Linked DNA regions of Tamandua tetradactyla. The protein of the gene in region 1 purifies or fractionates together with the protein of each later gene. This does not show direct contact. Links are inferred from orthologs where the notes say so. Each region holds a gene or a part of one and is shown in the gene's direction. Other genes may lie near its edges.

Region 1 (6,885 bases):
ATTTTTAATAGTTATTTTAAATTATTATTTTATTAATTTAATTAATTTAAATTCCAATTAGTGAGATACAAAAGATACCTCCTGCATGATAGAGACATTTGACATAGGTGCCATTTTTAACAGAGTTATTTAAAATTATTATTTAATTAATTTAAATTCCAATTTTGGATCTTTTTCCAGTTTCCCTTCTTCCATTCTTACGTCTCAAACATAGAGTAGATCCTACTAAACATGTATTGTTTTACCGCTCTTCTGAAATATATGGGTTTGATAACTCTAAAAAACTTAGCTAAGATAGATCTGACAATTCCGAAATAACAACTTGAATCTCCATATTGCATCAACCTGGAATACTTTGAGGAAGTTAGTGACTCAAATGGCCTTCTGGGAGCAATGAATCTCATCTTACTTCTGACAAATCGATAAGAGTTTGATGAAAGGAACCAAGCATTTACCACCCAGTCTATTCTTAAGGCTGCACCAGCCTAGAAGCTTATCCCAGCAGCGGCTCCTGGGTGGGAGTCCATGGGGCTGGATTTTGCTGACTGAGCCTCAGCACTGCATCGTGGCGTGCGGTGGCTGAATCTTCCTCTCAGTGCAACTGGGTCCTCTCTAGTCTGGGGATATGTGGTGTCAGGGAAGAATGATGTGTCCGTGAGACCAAAATAAAATCAACCTTGGAACCCTGCCAAATTCTTCCCCTATCATTTATTCTTATATAAAGGTTAGTCTGTCTCCCTTGCCGGAGAATTGCAGAAATCTAAAACTGGCCCTTTTCTGCACTTAGTGGAAGGTAACAGTAGAGGAAAGAGGTTGTTAGCAGGGACAATTTACTCTGTACCAATCCACTAGCCCGCAATTGTCAATCAGCGTGGTAAGGCTCTGTTATCTGAACTGTGTTGGAAACCAAGGAGTCTAGAAAAGCCTCGAATCAGCTAAGACCAGGAAAATTAGTGGCAGTACTTAAATATGGTATTTTCCCCAGTGTGCATACTGCTGCCTTATTAGGTGGTTGAAGAAAGCAAAAGTGCTCAGCTGGTGAGCAAGGAAGGAGACCGACGTTTTCTGTGCACTGACCCGCTGGAAGGGCCTCCCCGTGGGAAGGCAGGAGGGAGCCCGCAGGGCTGCAGTCGCCAGAGCCCAGAGGGGGACAGGTCGGGGTGGGGGACAGTCTCTCCCAGAGTGCACGAACCGGTGGCTGTATTTGTTGGCCTGGCGAATCCACGCTGGGAAATGCACACTCAGCAGGGAAAGGGGAAGAGAGACTGGCGGCAGTTTTCTAAAGAACAACACAGCTCAAGTGTCCCGCGAGTGCCCCCTCGCTCACCCCGCCGAAGCTCAGACTGTCAGGACAGACTCCCCGGAGCGCGCTCGGCCACCGGCGTCCTGTTCGGAAGAAGGCGATTCTCTGTGATTCCGGGACGGCCCCGGCTGCTGCACCCGCCCAATTCCCCTTCTCTGTCAGCCTGCCAGGTCCTACGAGCCGCCTCTCCCGGCGATCTTAGGACTGAGGTCGCTGGGGGTCACCCCAAATCTGTTGACGCTGACCCTGATCAGCTGGGAACTGGCTGGCTGAGCCTAGCGGCGAGAGGAAGGCGGGGACGCGGCAACGCGCTGCAGTCGCAGCCCAGCGCCCAGGGTTACCTCCGCGCGAGCGCGCCCTCCGGGGGGTCTGCGCTGGGCGCGGTCGCTCGCCGCTCCCCCTCCCCTCCTCCCCTGGCCGCGTCCTCCCTCCCTCTCCTCGCTCCTTTCCTCCCAACGCCCGCCCCAGGGGCGCAGTTGCTCTCGGGTCCTGCCACTGCCCCTTCCACTGGACCATGCTTTTGACTCCCGGTCGGGTGCCACCATCCCACCCCATGCCTCCCTGGGAGCGCACACTTCATCCCCGCTCCCAGGGATCTGGAAGTCGAGAACAAGGCAACTGGCCAGGGGAAGGAGGCGCCCTGGGCGCTGGGCTGCTTCGGGGCGCCGGGAGGGCTCCGTCTGCAGAATTGCCGCTGGGGTCCCGTGGGCGGAGTGAAAAAAGAATCTTGACCCGTAGTGGCGAGCACCCGGCGTTACCCACCAGTGCTAGAGCCGCGGGGCGCATATCAGAGCCGGCTAGGGGTCCGCCTGCACCTCGAGGGCGCGCGGCGGGGCGCCCCGCCGTAACCCCCCCCCCCCCGCTTGAAACCCTTGGCCGGGGGCCAAAGAGCCGGGGTTGCCTTTCTCCCAGCGCGCCCCAAGCTCTTCCGCCAAAACCTCTGACCAGAGTCTCCTTCCAAACATTCCTAAATCTTCTTTGCCAGCTCTTTGGACCAGGTAGGAATTAGGCTCTGATTTCGGGGTGTATAAATAAACGCCAATTCCCAGACGGTACAATGACCTTTTCACCTTCCCCCACCAACCCCTTGGGAGGGAGCCAGCTGGCATTCACCCTCTAAAGGGCGGATCCCTGGCCGCAACCTGTTTCTCCGAAATGTCCTTGCTTTTCCTATCCGCAGACGCACTCGGACCGCAGTTCTGAAAGCCCTGGGGGTTGGGGGTGGGGTGGGGGTGGGGTGGAACTGGGAAGCTTCCAACCCGTAGTGAGGACGCGCCTTCGCGGTGGGAGGGGGGGAAGGTGGGGAGGGAGTGGTGGGCACGAAGCTAGAGGACCTGCGTGTACCATTGCCTGTTGCCGGGAGCCGGGAGCGCCCTGTCAAAAGTCGCCCTTTCCTATCCCCCCACTCCCACGTCCCACCTTTCCCGGGATGCAGAGAAACAGGGGCCACTGGACCCTTAATTTCCAAACCACCAAGCGCCTGGACACGGAGACAACGCGCTGGGCGGGGTTGGGCGACGGCTGCCCCCTAGCTGGAAGGCACATCACCTCTCACCCTCCAGTGTCCCCGGTGTCCCAGAGAAGAGGTCACCAAATCTCGGGAAACAATGGAGGCCGGCGGCTCGCGGAGGGCACCCGGGCACCCAGGAGCGACTGGAACCCGGCGGCGCACCCTGGTGCCGGGGCGCGAGGTCGGGAGGACAGCAGCCGGGCCTCGCATACCCGGGCGCGTTGCCTCGGTTTTACGTGGCACCTTCGAGACCGCCCCTCGCTCGGCTTTGCGGGGGCGTCTCCCCACTCCAGCCGAGTTGTCCACCCCGTGCCCTCTAGCCCTGGGCCCGAGCGTCCAGCGAGCGCCCGGCTGCTCCGGGCCACAGGTCTCGGGGCCCGCGAGGTGGGCAGCTGGACGCGGAGAAGCCGCGCTCCTCGCCGCCGCCGGCTCCTGCACGGGGATTCCGAGTTGCAAGTGGCAGCCGCCACCTCCCGGGCGCTCGCCACTGCTCCGCCACCGGGGTCCTCGCCGCCCCGGAGCGGGCCCGGCTCTCACCCCGGGGGTTCAGGAGCTAGGCCCGCCGAGGTAGGCTAACCCTACCCTGGCCTTGGCACCGACCTCGACACCCCCTCCCGAAACGCACACGAGCCCTTGGCGCAGAGCCTCCAGCGCCTCCCTTCTCCTGGAGAGCTCTGCAGGGCTTCCAGAGAGACAGACAGACGGAGGGGGAAAGCACACGGAGGCAAACTTGTTCCTCCCCGTCTCCTGTCAGGCAATTACTGGCCAGCTAGTGCGGGGAGAGGGGAGGGAGGAAGCGAGGGAAGGGCTCAAGAAGGGGAGGGGAGGACGGAAGGAGGTGGGGGAGGCGGGGGTGCAGTTGGTGAAACTCCTTCGTCTCCGCTCATCTTTTCATTGCTTGCTCCTCTCCTTCCCGCAGACACTCCGGACCTCCCCTGGGCGCCAGCTTCTCGGCTCCATCGGGTCCAGAAACAATCCGGATTTTTTTTTTTTCTTTCTGGAGATTGGCTTTGCTGTGTTTCCCTCCCTCCCTCCCTCCCTCCTCCCCCGCCCAGCCCCCACTTTTTTTTTTTTTTTTTTGAGACATGGCCCGAGCAGTGGCTCCTGGAAGAGGAACAAGTGTGGGAAAAGGGAGAGGAAACCGGAGCTAAATGACAGGATGCAGACGACTTGAGACACAAAAAGAGAAGCGTTTCTCTCGGATGCAGGCATTGCCTCGCCGCTTTCCTTTCTCCAAGACCGGCTGGAGGATTTTACGGTTCTAAGCGGAGTTGGAGCACTTTGGGTTTTTTAGATCACGCCCTTCGCTGGGTTTTCCTCGCACGTTCTCGTTCTCCCGCATCTGCCTGGGGGTCCGGCGAAGGGAGAATGGAGAAGGGGCTGCCTCTGGTCTGCGCCGCGCTTGCCTTCGCCCTGGCCGGCGCTTCTCGCAACGGTAAGTGACAGGCGGAGGCGCGTCTGACAGCGCCGCGTCCCCGTCCGCCCGCGCGCTTCCAGCCGGGGCTTCGCTGCTGGGAGCAACGGCGAGCGGGCATTGCCCCGGGCGAAGGAAACTTTTATCCCGGCGCAGAAATTAGGAAATATAAACAGTCTGTTTGAGGCAGGAGGATTTCCAACCCGCAGGCTCCCTCCCGAAGTTGGTTGTTTGCTTGTGGGGGTTTTCCCACCTCTGTGACAAGGCAGAGCCTCCAACCTTCCCAGATCAGCACACCAATTATCTTAATAATGTTTCCTCCCAAAGGCAATTAGACGAGACTCCCTTTCAAAAATCTGATGGCAGATGAAAGTTAATGAACACTTTACCAGGAGAACTTCCTGGTTCTCTTGCAGCTCCCCCGAACTATTTCCTCTGCCTGGTGCCTGCTGGAGATACCGGTTTCTAGGTTTAAGGAGCCCCCTCCTACGCCTTTGTAAATCGTCCCTAATCCAGCTGGAGTTTGAATGAAAGTTGCGTAGTGTCAATAAAGGAATCTGATATATACAATGTAAGACACCCGGAGATGTGAAAATCCTTAGTCTACTTGCAGTTTCCACTTTGCTTTTAAAGCCACTCATTGTTAAGTAAATGAAAGACTGTGAGAGGGGATAAACAGTACCATGTAACATAAATAACGTGTTATATAATGTGATCTGACCGTTAGGCATGTTTGACTTCCACTGTAGAGTAAGTGAAGGCAAGGGATATCAAATTATCTTTACAGTGAATCTTCAGCAATTATTATTAACTAATGAGCAAATATTTACTTTCATCTGGCTTAGATTTCAAGCAAAGTAATTAGAAGAAAAGGACATCCACTACTTACTGTTGTATACCGTTCGAATAAGAGACCACAAGTGGTCTCTTATTCACTCCAAGAGCAATTTTAATCACATCTTTATGATGAAAGTTAATCTCTCTAATACGTTTTTGGAGGTTTTACATTTAAGCAAGCCGTTCCCTCAACAGCTACCAAGGAGAGTTAAGGAGAGTTCTAAAAGACACGCTTGGAAATAAATAGAACACACGTACAAACTGTGAATGTGGAGTTTACCTTGCTGATGAACCTGAGTTGGCCTCTTTCTACGCTCTGGCAAGGAACGAAATCATGTTCCTCTCCAACTCAAAGGGCTCAAATGATTAGGCTTTAGGAATCAGTGTAACCCGCCCACGGCCCTCCACAACTCCTGAGAATAAATCAGCAGGGAAGATGTTCCCAAGATGCATTTGAAACCTGATGGAAAACGCTTTCAGACTTCAAGTTGTGAATTCCATAAATTATATACATATGTATGTCAATTTCTTAATTTTCTTAGTGAAATCTGGGGGAGGAGACCCTAGCTCTGCCAGCAAGCTTGACTAGCTTATAGCTATGGTGCTATGATTGGAGGACCCAGAGCTGGTAAATGCCACTGTTGCACAGCAGACCTCTGAAAGCCATGTCCACCTCCTCTTAGTACCAGTGTCTGCTAAATTAATTCATTAGCCTTATTTAGGACTAATGGTCCAGAGTCATTAGAAATTGTTCTTTCTTAATCAACTGTTAGAGAGATTTAACAGAGTCAGGGAGTCTAGCCGTCCACATTATCTTATTACACTGTCACTTTCTCAGAAGTCACAGATTAAAGAGCTCTGGTGTGGTACTGAATCCACCTAAATGTCTTCTGAAGTGACTCTGTTGAGTGACTAGAAGCAGCGCTGTTTTCTTTCACTCCTCTAACAGATGCCAGACACTGCCATGTTTGAACAGAGCTGGAGGAGACTTAATGAGACAGGGGCACTTTCCAAGTTTTCTGCACCTTTAAAATAATGCAAGAGTCTCCACAGGATCACATAACGGAGTCCAGTATGATCATTAGCTGAGATTCTGGACTCCAGTTGCAACATCATTTCTTCTTGGCAAATCTCAAGCTTTTGAAAGCCAAGGCAAAGGAAACCAGCATAAGACTACTCTGATCTAAGAAGCATAGTCAGAAACCTCCAGCAATTGAGAAAATACAGTATAATTTATATTGTGTCTTTTTGATTTATGGGAAATGATTTCTGTAATGCATGTAGCTTTATGCATTTTTGATGTGCACTTCATCTTTCATTTCCATTTGACCTGGTTTTCCTGTAATAAAATTCTGTAGATTTATAAATTCACGCTGAGAGCAAAGAATGCCATTCACTTTCCACAGGGAATCTATTAGATGCAATATTAAAATCTATATATACCATTACTGAAACTTTGTGATTGATAGGCTTATATATTTCACTATTTTCATACCTGTTCCTCTTACATAGTTTATGCACTGACTTTTTATTGCTCAAAATTAAGCATCAATAAATGTGGCGGCATTGCAGACTAAGGCTCTCCAGTAGGAAATCCGTCATAAAAAGTGACAATGAGAATCCATGCTGAACAATAAAGCAGCCCAGAGCCGGGTTTATTTGGCACTCAGCGAATCGCTTTAGCTTTTTGGGTTTCTCGAAATGAAAGCTCAAAACTGGTAGGCTCACCTTTCCCAGGATGTGAGAATGTGGCTTGCCATATGTGACACCCGGGCCTCAATGTGGCAAAATTTTTTTTCAAAATTTAAGGTAATTAGAATT
Region 2 (6,959 bases), on another chromosome or scaffold:
GATGGGGGAGGGAGGCAGGTGAGGAGGCTGCCCATGGACAAAGGAACCAGCTTCTTTTGCTGGCACGGGGACCCTTGCATCCCCAGGTCATTGCCCATGGGTTTTGAGCCCTCTCTAGGGTCATGCCAGCAAGGCCCCCATGCCTAGAGCACAGTTAGACAACAGACCAGGACAAGAGGGGCCTCGAGGGCAGGCCTGAGTGGTGGGCATTCTTTCTGAGAAGCAGCAGTCGGAAGACCACCTCGCGGTCTCCTCGCTCATCCCATCCCATCTCCTGGTACACTAATACAGAACCAAGTGGGCAGGCCCCTCGGGGTTCTTGTGGGTACATCTGGGCAGCATGGTGGTATTTTCCCTGTCCCCCCCCTTCCTGAGCCTGTCTGGGCTCCAGAAAGGTCCAGACCCAGAGATATGGGGATTGGGCCTCTCCCTCAGTGAAGGGGGCGCGGGGGGTCTTTGTTTCTCAGTGAGGGTGAGAAGGAGCGCTGGTGCAGTCAGCCAGGGCCGGGGGGGAGGAAAAGGGGACACTGCTGTCTCCATGCTCTGCCGGACGCCTGAGCCTGCTGTCTCTGGGAGTGGAATCCTCTGTGCCCAGGGCCCCCCATCTCTGCTTTTATCCTGGCTAACCACTAAATCAGCACAGCCAGCACCGGCTCAGCTTCTCCCTGGTCTGGCTCTGCCTCCTGGACTTCCGGCACCTGCCCCACCGGCCATGCTGGGAAGCTGCCCGCGTTCTCACGCCTCCCTCTCCATGGATCCATCTGTCCTCTGGACCTTCCCTTGTGCCGATCTGCTACCCAGGCTGCCCGCCCCCCCCCCCCCCCCCCCGCCAGCATCTCACAGCCCTTCCAGAACAGGTTGGGAGAGGGCGCCCCCTCCCCTGGGGGAGCCAACCTGCCCAGACCCCAGAATGGCCACCTCGGTTCTCTCCCGAGCCTCCAAGCATCTATTGGTGCACCCTGCCTCCAGTCCCCAGCCCTCAGCACTCAGGCCTAGCTGTAGGATAAATGCATTTGAGCTGAGGTGCTTTGTGCCTGGGCAGAGGCCTGAGATAGAGGGTGGGACAGTGGTGAGTCCCCACGGGCTGACTGGGTCTCTGGAGAAGCACAGGATCTGGTCCTGCTGGGCCAGGGCCAGCTAGGTGTCTGGGGGTCTGTCTGAGCCCTGAGTCCTGCATCTCGAAGGTAAGGGATTGACTTCAGGGTCTTTACTGGTAGGCATCGTGGGCCCAGCCCTTTCCTGCCCAGCAGCCCCTTGCACTTGGGCAGACCCTTCCAGCAGCCTCTGTTGGAGCAGGTGGCCCTGGGACCAGGCCCTGGTTCGGTTGGAGGCTTCTTAGCCGGGTCCCTCCTGTTGAACATAAAGCGTGGGGCCCGTAATTGCATTAAGACGGGTATAATTATCTCGGAGGAGGGAAGAGCCCAGCCCCTGGTAATTGCAGGCCTGCTCTGAACTGATAAACGGTGAGTGATTCATGTTTTCTTGGGAGTTCACATACTCTCGGCGCTTACCCCCAGCCGTGCTGCCTCTACCAGGCGCCTTCACCCCGGCTCCTCACTCTGTGTTCTCTGCCTGTTTGAGCTGGGATGGCCCGGGACTCCTCTCCTTCTGTCTGTCTGCCCGTGGAGGTCCCTGGACAGCTGCTGCTCTTGGGGAGCTGTGTGGGTGGAGGGCCCTAAGGGGGTTCCCGGCCACTGTCCCAAGCTTCCCTGGCCTTAGTCTCCCACCTGGGCAGTGGGCCCATCCCAGGGTGTATGCCAGGCCAAGGGTGTGTGCAGTACAGACAAAGTGAGGGGACAGGCCTGCTTTGCCCAGCCCTGACTGACCACCCAATTACCCCTTCCTTCAACGAGTATTTATCCAGCCATACTGCATCTTGAGCTTGGCTTTGGGGATACAGTGGCAGATGCATAGAACCGGGCCCTTCTCTGCTGGGACTTCCCTTCTAGAGCAGGTGCATGGGCTGGGGTGGGGGAGGAGCAAGGAGGAGTGGGCAGAGCGTTCCAGGTCGAGGGACAGTACCTGCAAAGACCCTGATGTGGAACGGGCTTGGCAGGTTGCAGGGACAGGAGGGATGGCACGGTGGTCCTGGATGGGAGCAGGAGCATCCCATCCTGTAGGTGCAGACACAAGGCTCAGTTCAGAGACCGCCGGGCCTTGTCTAGTGACCCAGAGCAGGAAGTCCAGAATGCTCAGGCCAGGCCTGGGCTTGAGTGTGTGTCACGGCAGCTGGCTGCCTGGACTTGCAGAAGGGCTGTCTTTGAGACCTCAGTTTCCCCACTTGTACCATGGACCACTGGGTTGGCTAAGGGATGCTGTTTGAGGACAGGAAGGGAGCAGTTGCGGCTAGGCATTGGAGCCAGGGGTAGGGGTGCTGCCCCAGCACACGGGGTCAGAGCCAGGGTGGGCACAGACCCCTGCTGGCTCCACGTGGATGTGACAGCTCCTCATGAGCCAGGAAAGGGGGTGTCTCCGCCAGGGCTAGAGTGAGTCTAGTTTTACTCTGAGTTTCTGGCTCCAGAGTCTGACTGCCAGTTGCTGGGCCAGGCGGGCAGTGGGGGGTGCTGCATGGCATGGGTGATGGTGATTGACGGGGTTGGGGGGAGGGACAAAGCTTTAGGGGGGGGTTAGACCATTTAGCACAGATTTAGGAGGGAACCCCATGGGCACCCTGGTAGTAAGTTAAACCTGGGAAGTGAGGGTGATGGAGCTGTGGGCCCAGGGGGAGGTGGGCAGGGAGCCGGGCAGCAGGTGGGGCACGTTTCTGTGCCAGGAAGGATGGGCACATACTTGGGCATGGGGTCTGACATAGGGGGAGGGGCCGCTGCTGTGGGGACATTTTGTTTCATTTTTTAAGCATTGCAGTAACAAATGCAACATAACATATCCCGTTTTAACCACCCCTTTCCCTTTTAACAAATTCCTTCTTCCTCAGAGCAGGAAGGCCAGTGGCGAGCTTGAAGGGATGGAAAGAGCTGAGAACCTAAGTGGGGGGGGGGGGGGGTTCCAGGGGTGGAAGTTGCAGTGTGGCTTGGCATTTGCTTTGTCCCCTGGAGGGCAGGACTCGGGGCTGGCCAGCAGGGGGCCACAGGGCCAGAGCCATGGAGGCTGACCCGGAGTGCATCCTGCCCGCCCTGTGGGGCACCACGGTGGGGCCAGGGCCCGGGAGCCCTCATTTTCAATGAGGGACTGGGGCCTGCGCTGTAGGGCTGGGGTGGAGGGTGCCCAGTCCCCAGGGGATTGGGGGTGCCTGGCCTGTGGGGAGGCTCTGTGGGCAGGTGTGAGGGCTGGAGGTCGGGTCTGGGGAGGCGTGGAGGACAACAGGGATGCCTCATAGAGAAAAGGAAACCGAGGCACTGTTAGCCTCTGCCCCCCCCCATGCAGAAAGGGCCCCACTGGGGGCTGCAGGTGGGGCAGAGGCTCTGCCAGGCTGAGGGCTCATGCCTGGTGGGGGGGCCTGGGCCGACTGAGGCCCCACAGCATCGAGCTTCTACAGGGGACAGAGCGTGTCCCCAGCAGCCTTGGGCAGAGCAGTTATTCACCCCCCTCCCTGAGCCCAGGGGCCTCCCGAAAGGGCAGTAGAGGTGCCCAAATACGCTTCCTCCAGCAAGGCCTTGAGTCAGGGCTGACGGACCAGACCCTCTTTACCGCCTCCTGCCCCCCTGTGCCTGACAAGTGCTTCCGCGAGCCGTGGCCAGGCAGGCATCCTGCTTACGTCGTCCCGGCGGGGGACCTGCCCACTGGCGAGCCCATCCCGGGGGACCCTCCTCCAAGCCTCAGGACCCACCTGTGAGGGGGGGCAGCAGTCACCAATCTCGGAGGACTCTGGACAGCACATGGCTACTGAGAGCTCGTGAGGGCCCCCTTATGCTCCTAGCCAGCCAGGCGGTGTGTGTGGGCCCTCCCCCCACATCCCCCTCCCCCCAGCTCACCCTCTCCTTGTGTCCCCCCAGGGCTGAGGCTCCCGGCCCCATGATGCACATCCCCGCGAGACCCACGCGCCTCAGCCCGCGGACCCAGCCTGCCATGCCGCTGCTGCAGCCGCCGCTGCTGGTGCTGCTGTTGCTTTTGGGGGGCAGCCCTCGGGTGGGCGCAGGCAGGCCGGGCGGGGGCGCACAGCCCTCCCCCCGCACCTTCGCGGCCAGTGACTGGGGCCTCACGCACCTGGTGGTCCACGAGCAGACGGGCGAGGTCTACGTGGGCGCCGTGAACCGCATCTACAAGCTGTCGGGGAACCTGACGCTGCTGCGGGCCCACGTGACGGGCCCCGTGGAAGACAACGAGAAGTGCTACCCGCCGCCCAGTGTGCAGTCCTGCCCCCACGGCCTGGGCAGCACCGACAACGTCAACAAGCTGCTGCTGCTGGACTATGCCGCCAACCGCCTGCTGGCCTGCGGCAGCGCCTCCCAGGGCATCTGCCAGTTCCTGCGGCTCGACGACCTGTTCAAGTTGGGCGAGCCGCACCACCGCAAAGAGCACTACCTGTCGAGCGTGCGCGAGGCTGGCAGCATGGCAGGCGTGCTTATCGCCGGGCCCCCGGGCCAGGCCCAGGCCAAGCTCTTCGTGGGCACGCCCATCGACGGCAAGTCCGAGTACTTCCCCACCCTGTCGAGCCGCCGGCTCATGGCCAACGAGGAGGACGCCGACATGTTCGGCTTTGTGTACCAGGACGAGTTCGTGTCGTCGCAGCTCAAGATCCCCTCGGACACGCTGTCCAAGTTCCCGGCCTTCGACATCTACTACGTGTACAGCTTCCGCAGCGAGCAGTTCGTGTACTACCTCACGCTGCAGCTGGACACGCAGCTGACCTCGCCCGACGCTGCCGGCGAGCACTTCTTCACCTCCAAGATTGTGCGGCTCTGCGTGGATGACCCCAAGTTCTACTCATACGTAGAGTTCCCCATCGGCTGCGAGCAGGGTGGCGTCGAGTACCGCCTGGTGCAGGACGCCTACCTGAGCCGGGCCGGCCGCGCTCTTGCGCACCAGCTGGGTCTGGCCGAGGACGAGGACGTGCTGTTCACCGTGTTCGCCCAGGGCCAGAAGAACCGCGTCAAGCCGCCCAAGGAGTCTGTGCTGTGCCTCTTCACCCTCAGGGCCATCAAGGAGAAGATCAAGGAGCGCATCCAGTCCTGCTACCGCGGAGAGGGCAAGCTCTCCCTGCCCTGGCTGCTCAACAAGGAGCTGGGCTGCATCAACTCGGTGAGTGGGGGTGCTGCCCCAGCCCCAGCCCCTCGGGCCCCACGCACCCCCGTCCTTGGCCGACACGCTCGGTGGCTGGGGAAATGGGGGTGCCGCCACTATGTCCGCCATCCCACAGAGAACCTGTGCCAGGCTCCGGAGCCTGCTCTCGGCCCAGACGCCGTCGTGCTTCCTTTACAAAAGGGGGCGCGGAGACCACCCACCTGGACAGTTCCCTTGGCTCCTTGGCCGGGGCAGCCGCTGAGTGGCTTGCCGACCCTGTTTGTCCCTTTAGCCAGGTGGTGGTGTCCCTAGGTCAGAGAGGAGGGCACGAAGCTCAGGGAGGAGAGGGCCACACGGCTGGTAGCGAGCACGCCAGCTGCCCTTTTGTCCAGGTTCTGCCCGTCACGTGCTATGTGGGCCTGGCCGTGGCATCCAGTGTACCTGGACCTCTCTTGGGTCCTTCCCCGTCTACCCAGGCTGGCCTGACGCACATGCAGTGCTCAGCAGGACACGATGGGGCCCGTGCCAGGCTCTGAGCACCCAGCACCCTGGGTGGTAGGAACCCCTGTTTCATCAGCAGACACCCTGAGGCGCAGAGAGTGGGCAGCTTGTTCAGGGCCGCACCGGACAGCTGGACTTGAACCCAGATATCCAGAGCCAGGCTTTCGGCTGCTCTGCTCGTCCCACCCCGGGCCTACCGGGTGGGCCCATCCCTGCCCTTCCTCAGTGTTCCCACCTGTGAATCAGGAACAAGGGAACGCTGGTTCATCTTCATGGGACAGCAGGGGTCCCTTTGGCCCTTCTTCCCTGGCGTCTCGCTCGTCCTTGTGTTGACCTTTCAAGAACGGTATTCTGTCACCAGGACAGATAGAGAAACTGAGGCTAGGAGGGTCATTGACAGGCCACGGTCTGCCGTGTGCTGTCAGGACCTGGCATCCTGTATATTCTGTGCTCCAGTCCTGCCTGGGGACTCTTCTCCCAGCTTGCTCCCATCCCTCACCTTCCCTCCTTTCTCCACGACTCTTTTCCCCTGCTCCAGAGCACTCTAGCCCCAGCCCTGGGGCCTCACCTCACTTGCCCCTTGCCCGTCTATCTCCTTACAGTCCCAGCCCTGGCAGGCCCAGGTCTCCCTTGAGGCACCTGCCTGCTACCCTGGTACCTGTCCCTGCCGTCCCTATTCCTGCCTGCTCCCTACCCAGCCTCTCATGCCCCTGTGCCCCAGCCCACTGCCCAGAGGAGCCCGAGCTGTGCCCTCTCCCACCTTCAGACTTGCCTTTGTCCCCCGCCCTCCTCCCTCCTTGCAATGTCCCCCTCCTGTGTCGCCCCCACCTCCCCTCCTCAGGAACTGTGTGCTATCGATCACCTATCTGCTTTCCTGTATCTAGTCACTTCCCTTGGCTGGATCCCTCCCTTTTGCCTTTTACAGGTGACTGGTTCTCTTCTGTCCTAAATGAACCCTCTTGCGCCCTGTCCCTGCCCCACTGGCGGCCTCCCCATCTCCTCTCCCAGTCTCTGTCTCTTCCTCCCACCCCAGACTCCCCTGGCCACTCCAGGCCACCCCTCTTCCATCCTGCCACCCACCTGGCCCAGCAGCCTGGTTAGCTGGTCTTTCCCTCCCTTGCCATCCCCCGGACTGTCTTCTTTGGGAGCTGAGAGCTGAACACTTTCCTTTTTCCCCCAAGGGCTGGGTCAGGGGGCACAGGGGGTCCACGAGCGAGGCCTGCCTCTGCCAGCACACTGGTCTGCTGAAGACTCGGGTTCTCTATCTGTCCAGTGGG
Region 3 (7,792 bases), on another chromosome or scaffold:
CTTTTTCTGAATTGATGAAAATGTTCTAAGAAATGATCATGGTGATGGATACACAACTATGTGATGATGTTGTGAATTATTGATTATATACCAAGAGTGGAATAATCATATGGTAAGAATGTTCATGTTTGTATGTTGTTATTTTTTAAAAAAAGAATTAAGTGAGCAATGAAATAAAGCATTTAAAACAGTAACTGCTCAAAGGATGTGCTCAATAAACGTTGGCTGTTTTTATTATTTTCTGGCATCCTTCTCTAGTACTATATGGATTTGCAGCCAATTATTTAAATTTCCTGCATACTTCACACATTTTTAAATTGTTATTCTTTTTTTTTTTTGTATGCTGTATGACGGGGTCACATTTCATTCTTTTTCCATGTGAGTATCCTGTTATTGCAGCACCATTTGTTGAACTTTCATTTGTTTTCTTTTGTTTGTTGCTTACTTGTTTGCTTGTTTTGCAGAAGTGCATGGGCTGGGAATCGAACCCAGGTCTCCTGCATGGCAGGTAAAAATTCTACCACTGAACTACCCCTATGCTTATTTTTTATCTCCAAGTATGATTATTTCTACTTGGATTGTTATATTTATTTTTACGTGAAACACCTCAAGAAATTATGTGAAGGAATTTGGATAGGGAATATATGCATACATATTAATAGTAATTGAGATTTTGATGTTTCACAAAAATGGGGAGTTTCTTTTACAATTATTAGAACGTAAGACTTTATGAAGAAAACCTAATACCAATGAAAACATCCAAGGCAAGCATGGCTTTGTGATGACATGGTCATCTTTTTCATTAACATAAGAATATGTTCTAAGTAAAAAATGTAAGTTACACAGGGACTGAAATAAACTTGGGTGTTTAGAGACAGTAGACAACAAGAGATAAAGAATAGGTTCCTAATCTCTGAAGGCACATAGTCATGAGCATGGATGGGCTATGAAACTGAGTTGACATCTGCAAAGGTGGTTTAAGGCTCTGGGAAGTTATAAAATAAACAAATGTTGGGAATAAATGAAGTACACATGAGAAAATTTCATGCAAATATATAATCAATAAATGACGATATTTGAAAATAATGTCACTAAAAAAGAGTTGGTCTTATTGATATTTTTTTATTTGTAAAAATAATACATTCCTGCTTGAAAAATGTCATAGAAATGCAAGAAGTAAAAAGTTCAAATTCCCATCTATCTACCTCTTTGCATCAACCATTTCCCAGAGATAGGCATTTGTTGGGTGTGTATCCTACTAGCTATTGTCTACAAATTTTCTATTATGAATGTATATCTATGTATCTCATCTCTATTTGTAAATCTATTTCTAGATCTGTATTTTATGCCAAAGAAAGATAGGAAACACTTTGAACACCTGATATCCATTGTGGTGAAAACAGTTTTCGGGTGATGGGCTGTGTATGGAGAACATAAATAAGCCAGATAATTACAGGCCTTGTAACAAGTTCTTCTAAGAGATTAAACATCTATTAATAAATCCTTATTATCACCACTACCATAGGTATAAAGTATTTTACAGTTTACAGAGCACTCGTATGAGATTATCTCATTTGATTCTCATAGTAATCCTTGAAGTGAGCAAAGTAAGAGTTATTATTTTCATTTACAAATGAGAAAACTGATGTCCAATGTAATGAAAGGATTTGCTTAATATCACTCCAAATCCATGTTTCACCATATCAAGTCTGGCACTGGAAAAGTCAGTGGTATTATATTAAATGCACCAAGCATCATTTTGATTATTGTTACTTAAAACAAGAATTTTTTTCTATCATAGAAACATGCAAAAGTAGAGGATAGTAAAATGAACCTTTATGTATCTATCATCCAGCTTTCACTATTATTAACCATTTGCCAATTTTCATATATATTTTTGAATATATGGAGTCTAATGTGCCGGTGATGGTCGTGGAACCACATTTGGGATATATGAGGTGTAATTTGTTCAGTGGGCTTTGGTGATATACACAATGTATTGTGTGCACAAATGCCTAGAAGTAGCTGGAGATACGCAGAACCTTGTTATCATATTAAATTTGCTTGGGCTGTTGTGATGCCTGCTCATTTATGCTCTTATCACCTTTGGTTTCACCATTGTAACCCCAGTTCCTGACACAGTGTTGTTGAATGAATGTGTTTTATTTGCAGTTTCAATTTAGACAGCATGAAGTGAAGAAGATCGTGTATAGTAGTATAACCAACCTCTGCAGAATGCTTCTTGGTGTGTTTCAGGTGCTAATTATAGCTACGATCTGTGCGTACCAGGTGCTAGGTCCTATTCTAAGTGCCTTCATGCAGTAACTCATCTGATTCTGACAAAAACCCTGTGAAGAAAAAACCATTATGATCTTTTATATTTTGTAGGTAAGTAACCAGTAATTTGGTCAAATCACATGGATAGGAAGTGGGAGATCTTGGAGTCAAAGTCCAGGCAGTGTGGCCCCAGGATCTGTGCACTTAGCCACCTCTGTTTGTTGCTCCTGTGCAATAACGTGTCTGAATATCATCTACGGGGCATTGAACACATTTGGGGTATTTGGTAGGTGGTGGTCCTACCTGTACTCCTGGATCAACTCACAAAATCACTCCTTTGCACTGGTGCCAGAGAATGGGAGAGGGTTGCACATGGAACAGAACTTTTAATTTATTTTAAACAGACTTTCTCATTTTTCATGAACACAAGGCACTTCTAAGTGCTGTGTAGGAGGGAATGTGGCAGAATGATTTCATTGAGACCCTGCCAATTTCTGGTCTTGCAACCATCAAAGACGCATCATTTCCTCAAAGACTTCTAAAGGGGGCTATTACCATGTGCCTGCAGGTTCTGGTTTGCATTTGGAGGAGACACTATCTTCCTAAGTGAGACATGGAAAAGGAAGTGTCACAAATTGTAAATAAGGTTAAGAGGCTGAGAGAGAACAATTGTTTGGACGTAAAGATGGAGAAAAATTTTCTCCAAACCAGGTACCATCTCTCTCTCTCTCTTGGCTGATTCTTTCAGAGTCCATCTTGTTTTACTTGCTAAATTTATTAGTGGGAAGAACGGAATTTTTTAAAGAATTTTCCCACAACTGCCCAAGCATGAAAACAAAATAAAAACCTCCTAGATAAATATTAGTACATCTATTCAATGTAACACCATTCCACCATTAAAAAGAATGAGATGCAGCTCTAAGGGTTAATAGAGAATGCTCTCCAAGGTATACTTTTATAAAGTGAAAACAGTCAAGGCTCAAAACAGCATTTGTACCAATGCTATCATTTATGGAAAAAAAAGGGTGATTAATCTACATATGTTCATATGTGCATAGAATTTGCTTGGAAAAAGGAAACCAGTTAAAAAGCTTGCCATTGGTGAAGGACGGTCTTTTCACTCTAAGCCTTTTTGTATTTTTCAAAATACTTTTAACCATATATACTAGTTATATTTCAAAAAAAGTTAAAATATTTCGATTGTCAACTTGGAAATAGAAGAGCAAGCAAATATTTTTAAAAAGTGGAAGAAAAGCAACATTTTAATTGTGTTTTTCAGGAGGAGGGTTTGGGACCAGATGTAGGGTCAAACAGTAATTCTACCTCTCCATCTCGCTGAAGGATGGTCCTTTCAGTTCCCATTCCTGGGAAGTAAGAGGCAGAGGGATTAGGGAGATCTTGATTTAATGAAGTTAGGGGGCATTTCATGTCACTCCCCAGGTGTGGGAAGAGATGGATAGAAAACAAGAAGGAACAATGAGGGCGGAAAAGAATGGTAGCTTCCCTCCAACCATCCAAGAAATGTACATCTGTGGTGAGAGTCGTGAGCTTTGTCCATGGAGTGTCCAGAGTACCTACCTAGCTAGGAACTTTCACTTAATTGCTCTCAGCAGAGGCTGGCCTGCTATACTTCCTTTCCCTCGGCCTCAGGGTATCTTGGCTTGGAAGTTCTCCTTTGAAAAGGGGCCTGGCCAAGGACCCAAGAAGAGTCACGCTGGGGACTGGCCGGTTAACAGGGTGGACAAAAGCCCTTTCTCAAGGAGAACCTTACGAGAGAGACGGGTGCCCCTCACGCCTTAGGTCCACCCAAGCTGGGTACCTCCACCTCCTGTGAGCCCTGATGTAGGTTTCTGGCCTGGAGCTAGGCAGGACCAAACGTGATGCTTGCAAGCTTAAATGCCTTCTGGGGCTCCGCAGTTAACTTCAAAATACTTGAAGTCGCCAGGTATAAGAGGAAATGGCAGGAACTTTTTGACTAGGAAAATGTATTTTCTGACTAACAGCATTCATATCCAGACTTTTAAACTGTGCAACTGTGCTGGCCAAACAAAATATTTCTAACTGGCTGGAGTCAGTGCCAGTTTGCGACCCCGGCTTAATATCCGCTTCTGGCTGCTTGCTCCAAACTGCGCTCAACCTCAGCTGGTCTCGCAGTTAGTTTAGAAGCGCGCTACAGCGCAAGGGTCTCGAACTTTGACGCTCGGAGCCGGTTACTGGCTTCATGTTACTTCCACCAGAAATGGAGTTGTCGCGCCCAGGACATTCTCTCCCGGGCGACTCGAGGTCTGCGTAGTCCTGTGCAGGTTGGGAGGGGAGCTGTAGTGGGCGTGGCGAGCCCGGGATCCCAGCGAGCGAGCCGGGGGAACACCAGATCCTGCGAGGTGAGGGGCGGGGCCGACAACAGAGGGGCGCCCCCCCCCAGATCCCGCCCTACCTGGCCCCGCCCCCCGCGCTCTAGAGTTTCGGCCCCAGCTCGCACCCGGCACTGAGTCCTAAGACACCGCAGAGCAGGCGGTGTTCTGCCGCTGCGTTCTCTCCACCTGCACAGGGCGTAACTGGCGTGCTGCAGAAAGCTCAGCCGGTCCCGCAGGCGGGATATTCTTTCCACCAGCTCCCGCACAGGTCTTGCCAGCCGCGCGGGGAGCCGGGGCATCCTCGCCGAGTGCGCTTCGGGGTCCTGCTCTGCGGCGCGCGTCCCGGCTCCGCGCTTTGGTGGCCGGGCAGGCCCCGGGCAAGAGAACCGACTCCCGAGTTCTGGGCACCGCGCTGGGCTCGAGGTGCAGGATGAAGAACAAGGCGCTGCTGACCATCGTGCTGTGTCTGTGCTTGGAGACCCGGGCTGTCCCCGTGGGTAAGGACCCCACTCCATGGGAGGGAGCCGAGAGGTCGGGTGCGGGTGGGTGGATGCGGATGCGGGGAGGATCTGGAGACCGATCTAAGTTTGAATCATAGAGCTGGAGAGTTGGGAGAAACTGACACATTTGTGCTGTTCCTTTTACCCAGCGGGGAGATAGACTCACAGACTGGCCCAAGATTGCCCAGCGAGGTGGTCTCCCGAGCTCTAGCGGTGTCTTTTCCAAGGCTCTGGTGTCTGACCGGGACCTCGGCTGGAGCGTGTACTGCGGGGCCGACGCACCCTCGGGCTCCTTGGCGGCGGGGCGGGAAGGCGCCAGGGGCTGACTGGCAGAAGTTACCCCGGCAGGCGGGAACACACAGTGAGAAGCTGTCCGACTGTGCGAACCGTTCTGGGGGGGACCCCGGCGGGCTTGCCAGTCCGGGAAGGAAGCCTTGCTAGGGGAGTAAGTCCTGCGGTACAGCTCACACAGTGCCCTCCGCTCTACCTCGGTGGGAGTGAAACGGGGCCACCGGCTGCCTGTTCCCTCTTCTCTCGGACAGGCACAGCCACTGTATGAGGTGGCGGGGTCCGGGAAGAGGGAAATTTTTACTCTCCATGGAGCAGGACGCCGCTCTTCTTGCAGAAAGGGGTGGGGTGTTGGGGTCTTGGTCCCGGACCCTGTCAGCTTCCCCAAGTGACTAAGCGACAACCCCCTTCCTAGGTAAAGCAGTGTTAACGTCTTTCTAAGCATTTTGGCTCCTAGGTAAGCGCAGGGTCTACCCTGTACCCAGATTTAGCGCCACTTAACATTGCGGTCCCCTTCTAGATTAGGAACCCATAACGTGCTGGATGCAATAGCTGTGTGTGTGTGTGTGTGTGTGTGTGTGTGTGTGTGTGTGTGTGTGTGCGCGCGCGCGCGCGCGCGCCCAGTTGATATTCTTTCTCCATAGCCACAGTTTACTGAGTCCCAGATTCTGTGTCTTGGAAGAGAAGGGGAGAGGGCGGAGAAAAGCAAAATCAGATGATCCAGGGACCCAACTCCTACAGAATGAATCATGTGCCCCTTATGTTGGGGTGACCACTGATGTACTTTCTTACCTCTTTTTTGAAAGGGAGAGAAAATTACTTTTAAGTGCCATCTTATACTTTGTATCAGCCAGTGCTGGAGAAATCGTGAATAACGTATGTACAAAACTTTTTTTTTTTTTTAATTTTCTATTATTTTGAAATTCTGCCTCTTTGGATTTGGGGAACACTGGCTACCCCATCTCTACAGTCTGGGCTGGCAGAATGCTGATGTTTTACAATTCTTTTCCCCACTCAGTTCCCCTCTTCTGGTGAGGTTCCTGTGAGCTCTGTTAGATGGGCATCCTGAAGCTTGTTAAAATGTACCCTCCGTTGGTGCGGTCTCTTTTGGGGGCAGATTGGGAGAAAGAGAAACCAATAATGCAACTGTTTTGATAGAAAAAATTGATAAAATGTCTTTTTGAAGTAAAGAACCAGTCCCTCTAAAAATAATAATAATAATAATTCAGGGGAAAAAATTCTTATAACGATAGAAAAAAAACACACTTAAAGAAGGCACGAGCTCAGTACTAAGATCATCTGTCCATGGTTATTGAATTTTCTTAATCGTGACTTACTTGGTTCTCCAAGCTTAGCTGTGTCACGGCCACTCATTTGTCCCTGACAAGGCCTCTCTCTCCCCCCTTATGGGAAGAGAATGAAGATCTGGAGCTTGTGGTTGGTCTGTAGCCCATAAAGAAGTGAGTTGCTTTTAAGCCTGGGGTGTTTCATAGCACAGCTGTAAGTAACTGCTGAATATAATGGTGGGGTTGCCCTTTTGGAGTGTGTGACTTACTTAATTGGATTGGGCTATAATTGGTGCCATCAAATTCTAGAGACAGAGGCACTGTTGTTTTTCCTTTCTGTCTCGAAGCTGGGGAGGGTAATAGTGCACAATTTAATTAATATGGGTTATGGGATTTGAACATAGAAGGGCTTTTTATTGAGCATATGTATCTCTTATAGCCATTTCTGTAGGATATTTTCTGAAGAATAGGACTCAAACTTGCCAAGGAAAAATGAATGAAAGTTAATGGAGCAAAGAAAAAGAAAAAACTTGAGTGTTGGTCTACAGATAAGAACTTGAAGTTATCATTATTGCTGGCCTTGTTGAATAGATTTTTGTTGTAGACAGGTCTCTAGAACAGTACAGTGTTGTCTTAACTTCTTATAGAAAAATGTCATGGAAAAGGTTTTTTCTCTCTCTTTTTAAATTTGTTTTCTTTTTTTTTTTGAATACTCTGGGGACTTTTTAAAAATTATTTTTGTATAGGAAGATGTGTCAAGAATGTGAGATGATCTGTGGCAATAATATATAAAAGATCTTCAAAATTCTCTTATTTTGATGGGGGGAAGGCTGTCATAGCTTATTTAGAGCCTTGATACTACTCCCATTTTATTCTCACACAAATGTGCCCAAATAATGAATTATTTCCTATTTGAATTATCATGTGAGTTGTATTCAGTTGTTGTTATTGACATTTTTCTCAAGCTCGCATTTCCCAGTCAAATTTGAAACTTTTGCTCATTCAGATGAAATGTTTTCATTTTCATTTTCTTTGGAAAATGGGCTCCCTTATTGGAAGGCTTTTTTTCTTTTGCTTTTAAACATTT
Region 4 (6,933 bases), on another chromosome or scaffold:
TCTTCCAGGCCTTTTCCTACGCAAACACATACTCCATGCATACCTCTATATAGAGTATTAGTTTTAAAAATATTTTAAAAGGTTGAGGGGGTGGTGGCGAGGTTGAACACTATTGCCTTTGTTTTTAATTCACTTGCTATATGTCAAAGACATTTTTATATACAAGTATATTTAAATCTACCTCCTATGTTTTTGCCCAGTTCATGGTATTTCAGAGCATGAATAAATCATAATAAAATTCTGCCGTTATTGAGAGACATTTGGACTGTCTCCAATCATTACAAATAAAGCTGCCCTACACATCCTTATTCCTGTATCCTTGTGCATATATGTTCTTCTATTGGACAGATTCCTAGAAGTGGAATTACTGTGTCAGAATATGCATATTTTATAACTGGATAAATAGCTAAACTTATCTTCAAAGAATTACACTAATTCATACTCTCCACAAGCACTGTAAGATACTGTCTATTTCCTATATCCTCACCAACATTAGGTATTACAGTTTGTGTGTCGGTGAGATTATGCATCCTTTTATTTGGTTACTGATCATTTTTATTTCTTCTTTTTTTGTGAACTGCATGCACATTTCTTTTTTCCATATTTTTACTGCTTTCTTTTTCTTATTGTGGAGCTATTTGAATCTTAAAGATTAATTATTTCTTGTATAGTGTAATTATTTTTCTCAGTATTTTTCTCTTGTGGTTTCTTTTACCACAGGGAAGTTTAGAAATATTATATGACCAAATTAGCTAATCTTTCCCAATATTTTTGTCACTACACTACACTACCAAGGGAAGTGGTGACAACTGTAGTTGGAGGATGGCAGTTAAAAAACCAGGAAGTTTCTAAAAAAATAAGCAGTTGGAGACATGGGAAGAATAAAGAGACTCTTTCCCCTAAAATAAATATAAATGCTCAACTTCCACTCTTAAAATATGTCTTGGATGACTGAACTATGTTATGTACAAGAAACTAGGGTGGGTAAATACCAGATTACCTCTAGGAAGCCCTGTCAAGCTCCAAGTGGTAGAGAGAGGCTGGGTCTTTTGCCTAATCCCTGGCTGCAGTTCCTGGGTGGGAGAGTCAATTTAGGGAAAAGAATCCCCAAGGACTATAAGAGTAAGGACAAGCCTGAACTGGGCAGAGGTAGCAGATATGAAGCCCTATCCCGAGCTCTTGAAGGAAAAAGATTGCCAGAGCTTGGTTCAAGGTTGTGTACTTCACCAGCATTCAATCAACATTCAACAACTGCAAACCAAATTACAACATCTTGAAGTATAAAAATAGGATACTACTACGTGTTTGCATCATATTTATACAGAAAATAGCACAGAGAGAACCTCAGGGCTGCTTGTCCCACTGGCTCGCTAGCAATTGTTTGTACCTGGGGTGTCTCCAGGAGTACCTGGGGACAGGTTTCCAGCTACTGCTTCCACGATGATCTCCATGTTTCCTGTGCCCTCTTCAGTTGTTGTGGCCTCTACCAGCAGGCAGCCTGGGTTAGCAGGTAGAGGTGTGAGGTTCTCAGAAGGGCAGGGGTTCTGCATGGGCCCCTCCAGGACTCCATGGTTAGGGAGAGGTGGGGGGATCAGCAACAGCTCAGGGCACAGACCTTCCATCTCCTTAGTGATTTTGGGTGGCTGTGAGTCCAACACGGGGTCTGTCATCACCACCAATTTGGGTGCTGCAGCCTCTTAAGTGCTGATAAGCTAGTTAGAAGAAAATCAAAACAAAATATAGTTAGAGCTCTCATTTTCTTCCCTGCTGTGGGTGCCCAGCCCCATCTCTGTCCATTTAGGTATTTTCCTACATGTAGTATGCTGTACCTTAATAACCTAAAGAGAGATTTTTTTTTTAATAATAATGTTTTTTAAAAAAAGCATAAAAATGTTTATAAACAGAGCCAATATTAGGAGAGAACCAACAAATTCTGGCCAATATATTAAAGACTGCAGGTTTTGTTTCATGCTTTGGTAATATTAGCTAAGTGACCCTGGACAAATTATTAAGCAATTTGGTTCTCAATATTCTCATCTGGGCAGGGTCAAAGGATCTCAGAGGCACCTTTTCCTCTAACATTTTATGATCTTAGCATGGCTATAAGGCTCTTCATGATCTGGCCCCTGCTGACCTTTCCAGACTCATCTTCTACCTCTTCCTTCACCCGATTTCTCAACCAGCCATATAAGAAGATCTGCCATTGTGTAGTAACACCACATTTTCTTTTGCAACACCCTTGTCCGTACTTTCCTCTAGGCCTGATGTAAAATTTCCCCTTCTCCATTTCTCTCATCTGCCTAACCAACACCAAATTATCCTTTAAGAATTTACACAAACATCATTTTCACTATGGAAGTTTCCCGACACTTTTAACCTAAATTTCTCTCTTCCATGGTCCTAGTGGCACTTTGTGCACAGTAGCCATATGAGAGACCATGACACACAGAGCTGTTGTTTACCTACTATTCTCCCTTCTAGATTCTGAGTGGAGCTTATTAACCTTATCACTTCACTGAACACAAACCTTCAACAATCTATGCAATTCAGACAAATAAAGGGATTCTAGTGAAGAACTGTATACACTGAGATGCGTTGGAACAGAGCTAGGTATCCTGGTAACCAGATGGTTCCTCACATAGAAAGTAATATATATGGAGAAATGTCAAGCTCATTGACTACACTATGATCTCAAATTGAACTGGAACACATCCGAGCAATGAATGACTGTTAAATTGCATATCCTGTTATACATGGGTAAAATGAGTTTAAGCTGAGTAATTAGCAACTAATAAGAATAAAATCATTCCATGAAATCAAGTCATGGAAGGTCTATAAAGGCCAAAGGCTAGAGAGAAATTAGGCTGCTGGTGGAAAGCAATATGCATAAAAAAGAAACCAAGATCCTACGATATGATATTCCTTGTTGTCCAGAATCTTGCCACTCAAAATTTCGATTTTCAGAAGGTGGAGGAGAAGTGCACTTTTATGGTCAGAAGGATTCTCTGGAAACCGCAGCCTCCACTTACTGAACATAATCTCTGCTCTAGAGAAGCCTCCAGCTCCGCCTTACATGGCCTCAGCGAGGAGCCGGTGCAGTTTACACTAAGAACCTTTATTTACTAGAAAGCGGGGTGAGGTGGATACGAGAGAAGAGACAAGCTTATTTGGGGGTTATGGGCATTACGGAAAGGTTAAATTAAGGCAAAAGGAAGAACTGGTGACCAAGGTACCCGTGTTCTCATCTGCCTCGGACTCTGACTCATCGTATGACCTTGGACAGTTACAGTCACCTACCTCGCTTTTCCGAGCCTCAGTTTTTCCATCTGTAAAATGGAGGCGATGCCAGCGCCTACATAGTTCGACGGTAGCGGGAATCACAAGAGCCGGCGAATGGGAAAGGTCTTTGGTAATCTGCAAGGCTTGGGGAGGCGCATCGTCATGATTACGGTCCTTTGGGGGCAGCGGGCATCCGGGCGAGAACCAGAGCAATGACGCGGCTGAGGCGCTGGGGAGGCTGGGTGTCATGTGGCAGAACCCCGCTCGTCGGCATGCTCATTCAACACCTACTCCCGGAGACCCCCACCGCCCAGGCCCACTCTCACCTCGAGCTCGAGAAACTTTTGCCGCTAGCAGGGTCCACCCGCACCCCCTCCCAGCGGCCGCCCGGCAGTCACTCACCTCCCGGCCCAGGGCCGGCGGGAGTCGCATCTCTATGGTCAACCCGCGGCTGGAGCGGTCTCCCGGGGCGCCCTTTGTGCGACCGCCTTCGGCCCAGCCGCCTCTAAGAAATTTGGCGGATTGAGGCCGCTCTCTCTTCTTGTGGGCGGCTGGCGGGGTAGTCTATGGTTTTCTCTATAGTTCCTCCCTCCTCCCACCGGAGGCCGTGCAAAAAAACCCAAGGACTACCATCGAGAATTGTGGGGCAGAGCGGCAGGGCCTTCTCGATGGGTGTGGCGGGAAGTAGATGCGAGAGCTCGGGGTTGGTTCCTTGTGGAGCCCCCAAAGAGCGGAGGGGCAGCGAGAGGAAGGGCCAGAGAGTCATGGCGGTAAGGGGGTGGGGTGATGGGTTATTCTAAACCACGTTGCTGGAGGCGTGAGTTGGTTTGTGGACGAGGTTCGGGAGCTGGTTACTGGGCGTCCGGCCTGAACCTGGGGTGGGGAGGTTTTGTCTCCGGCCTTCTATGTATAATTTTGGATCCCGGCTCTGAACTCTAGCTGAGGTCACGGCTGTCATTTCACCGCCCTGCGTGTAGGGCAAAGTGGAGAGGATGAGGGTTATTAGAAACGCTTTGGCCCCTGCGCTTTGGGATTTTACAGTCTAGAATTCGACCCGGTCACGTTTTATTGTAGGATTCTGGAAAGGTTCCATGGAAGAGTTAGCAGATGGGCAGGATTTCAATTGGCCAAATGGAGGGAATAAAGGAGAACGGGCATTCGAACCGAGAGAATTGCGTGGGCAAGGAGGTGGGAGGTTGTTTGCATATTTGTTGAACTGGGTGCATTCATGCTAAGTTAGGAAAGGTAGGTGGGTGTCGTGTTGTGGGGAATCTTAAGTTCCAGGCTGAGGAGTTTGTACATAATTCAGTGGTCTGTTGGACGTGTTAGAGCAGGGAAGTGATAGGATTGGTGAAGAAAGGTCTGATCCCGTGTGTAGCAATTTGGTTAAACAGGAGGTGGAGACCCTTCAAGAGGCCATTTCCAAGTGGGAAATAATACATCTAAACAGAGCAGGTCATTAAGAATTGAGTATGAAAAGGGGAGGATATTTGAAAGGCATTACTCACTGTAACAAGGCATAGGATAACAAGGGAAGAGAGTAACTCCTTTACCCCTCACTGACTCCAGCCAGTAGGAGTCTATCTCAGCTTTCTATCTCAGCTGGTCCCAGGTACCATGAAAAGTCTATCCACCTATAATCCTGATGTCAAGCCATTTACATTGCTTCCTCGAGTTTAAGGACTCTCCAAACACTATCCTGTGGCAGGAAACAGGTATGAGCAGGCTAATGATATAAGGGGCCCGGAGTCTTAGTTCTCTAGCCCTTGCCCCTACCCCAAAAAGGGATGATATTGAAACACAGTAGTGCTGACCTGTCCTTCCTGTTCCCAGCCTCTGTAGGAGGGAATGGGTAGGTATATGGAGTCTAGGTTCTAAACTAATCTTGTACTTTGTCTCATTTCCATTGCCACCCACCTCCAGGTTTTGATAAGGCCTCAGGACCTGTAAGACTGGTGTTTCCTTTTCAGGATGTCCTTCTCAGACTTTATTCTGGCCCTGAAAGACAACCCCTATTTTGGGGCTGGATTTGGGCTGGTGGGTGTGGGCACAGCTCTGGCCCTGGCCCGGAAGGGTGCCCAGCTGGGCCTGGTGGCATTCCGACGCCATTACATGATCACATTGGAAGTCCCTGCTCGAGACAGGAGCTATGCTTGGTTGCTTAGCTGGCTCACCCGCCACAGTACCCGTACTCAGCACCTCAGTGTGGAGACTTCGTACCTTCAGCATGAGAGTGGCCGCATCTCCACCAAGTTTGAGTTTGTCCCTAGTCCTGGAAACCACTTTATCTGGTAAGATTGGGAGCCAGGGAGGGCTCTGTGAGTAGAAAATGAGAATGGGTTTGACCCATTCATGCACCCCATTTTGGCCCTTCTTATTTAGGTATCAGGGAAAATGGATCCGGGTGGTACGAAGTCGAGAAATGCAGATGATAGACCTGCAGACCGGGACTCCTTGGGAATCTGTCACTTTCACAGCCCTGGGCACTGACCGCAAGGTTTTCTTCAGTATCCTGGAGGAAGGTATGAGATGGCACAGGCAGGTTTTATTGTGGAGAAGGGGATGTTACAGGGGTCAGGAAATTTGACATGAGAGGAAGCACAGCCTTGGAGAGGAGCCAGAGGGAAACTGTGTAGGCCCAACTTTATGCCTAGTTGAAAAACCAGTCATAGCAAAGAATTATTGACCTTGGCTCATCTATCCCCTTCTAGCTCGAGAGCTAGCTTTGCAGCAAGAGGAAGGGAAGACAGTGATGTACACAGCCATGGGCTCTGAATGGCGCCCCTTCGGCTATCCACGTCGCCGGCGGCCGCTAAACTCTGTGGTTCTCGGACAGGGTCTGGCTGACCGAATTGTCAAAGATATCCGGGAATTCATTGATAACCCCAAATGGTATATTGACAGAGGTGAGAAGCAGCTGAGGTCTTGGCACTTTTGGGCATGTTGTGCGGGAGCGAACAGGCTGGACTTTGTGGCCTGATGGAATAAGTATAAAGCTCTAGTCTGACTTTTGAAGATGACTGCAGGGATGATTTCTTCCAATACCAAGGTCATCAGGCCTCTGGGGGGCAGGACTGAGAATGAAAATGGGTATCTGGGGCAATGTGCATGATTGATTTTAGGTCTTGATTATCATCCTGAGTGTATTCCTAGGCATTCCCTACAGACGTGGCTACCTGCTTTATGGGCCCCCTGGATGTGGAAAGAGCAGTTTTATGTGAGTAGAGTCAAGTCTTTGGAGAAAAACTGGGTTAAGGATGGGAAGGGAAATAAATCAGGGGACCAGGATTCAGGATAAACATTAGATCTGTGAGCATCAGGGTGGGATGGTGGGGAAGACCTCTGAGAAACACTTCCCAGGACAGTTAGGAGAGAGCAGCAGGGCCCAAGGAAAAATTCTCAGGTTGCCTACCACCCTGTTGTCCCACCCCTCACCTCCACCCCCACAGCACTGCCCTGGCTGGGGAGTTGGAGCACAGCATCTGCCTGCTGAGTCTCACAGACTCCAGTCTCTCTGATGACCGGCTCAACCACCTGTTAAGCGTGGCCCCACAGCAGAGCCTAGTGCTTCTGGAGGACGTGGATGCGGCTTTTCTTAGTCGAGACTTAGCTGTGGAGAGTAAGTGAGGGATGCTGGGAGAAGGGGAATGTTTC

What was found.
Region 2: the proteins of NRP1 (region 1) and PLXNA1 purify together in Homo sapiens (affinity purification with western blotting; 4 studies listed by BioGRID). This does not show direct contact. The link is inferred for Tamandua tetradactyla from reciprocal best matches to the Homo sapiens genes NRP1 and PLXNA1.
Region 3: the proteins of NRP1 (region 1) and KDR purify together in Homo sapiens (affinity purification with western blotting; 7 studies listed by BioGRID and IntAct, with this or other methods). This does not show direct contact. The link is inferred for Tamandua tetradactyla from reciprocal best matches to the Homo sapiens genes NRP1 and KDR.
Region 4: the proteins of NRP1 (region 1) and BCS1L purify together in Homo sapiens (affinity purification with mass spectrometry; 3 studies listed by BioGRID and IntAct, counting the BioPlex papers as one, with this or other methods). This does not show direct contact. The link is inferred for Tamandua tetradactyla from reciprocal best matches to the Homo sapiens genes NRP1 and BCS1L.

Annotation. Positions count from the first base shown.
Region 1 is NC_135327.1:217,832,350-217,839,234, forward strand, and holds the start of NRP1 (neuropilin-1), read left to right. Parts: upstream 1-3,884; 5' UTR 3,885-4,181; coding exon 4,182-4,248; intron 4,249-6,885. UniProt on the Homo sapiens protein: Cell-surface receptor involved in the development of the cardiovascular system, in angiogenesis, in the formation of certain neuronal circuits and in organogenesis outside the nervous system. Mediates the chemorepulsant activity of semaphorins.
Region 2 is NC_135335.1:29,437,721-29,444,679, forward strand, and holds the start of PLXNA1 (plexin-A1), read left to right. Parts: upstream 1-3,959; 5' UTR 3,960-3,972; coding exon 3,973-5,199; intron 5,200-6,959. UniProt on the Homo sapiens protein: Coreceptor for SEMA3A, SEMA3C, SEMA3F and SEMA6D. Necessary for signaling by class 3 semaphorins and subsequent remodeling of the cytoskeleton. Plays a role in axon guidance, invasive growth and cell migration.
Region 3 is NC_135345.1:55,464,950-55,472,741, reverse strand, and holds the start of KDR (vascular endothelial growth factor receptor 2), read left to right. Parts: upstream 1-4,777; 5' UTR 4,778-5,061; coding exon 5,062-5,128; intron 5,129-6,275; exon of another isoform or gene 6,276-6,295; intron 6,296-6,900; exon of another isoform or gene 6,901-6,919; intron 6,920-7,792. UniProt on the Homo sapiens protein: Tyrosine-protein kinase that acts as a cell-surface receptor for VEGFA, VEGFC and VEGFD. Plays an essential role in the regulation of angiogenesis, vascular development, vascular permeability, and embryonic hematopoiesis.
Region 4 is NC_135329.1:194,195,373-194,202,305, forward strand, and holds the start of BCS1L (mitochondrial chaperone BCS1), read left to right. Parts: upstream 1-3,911; 5' UTR 3,912-4,049; exon of another isoform or gene 4,050-4,050; intron 4,051-5,202; 5' UTR 5,203-5,250; coding exon 5,251-5,570; intron 5,571-5,661; coding exon 5,662-5,801; intron 5,802-5,990; coding exon 5,991-6,185; intron 6,186-6,432; coding exon 6,433-6,496; intron 6,497-6,728; coding exon 6,729-6,898; intron 6,899-6,933. Other genes in the region: ZNF142 (zinc finger protein 142), read right to left, coding at 1,388-1,670. UniProt on the Homo sapiens protein: Chaperone necessary for the incorporation of Rieske iron-sulfur protein UQCRFS1 into the mitochondrial respiratory chain complex III.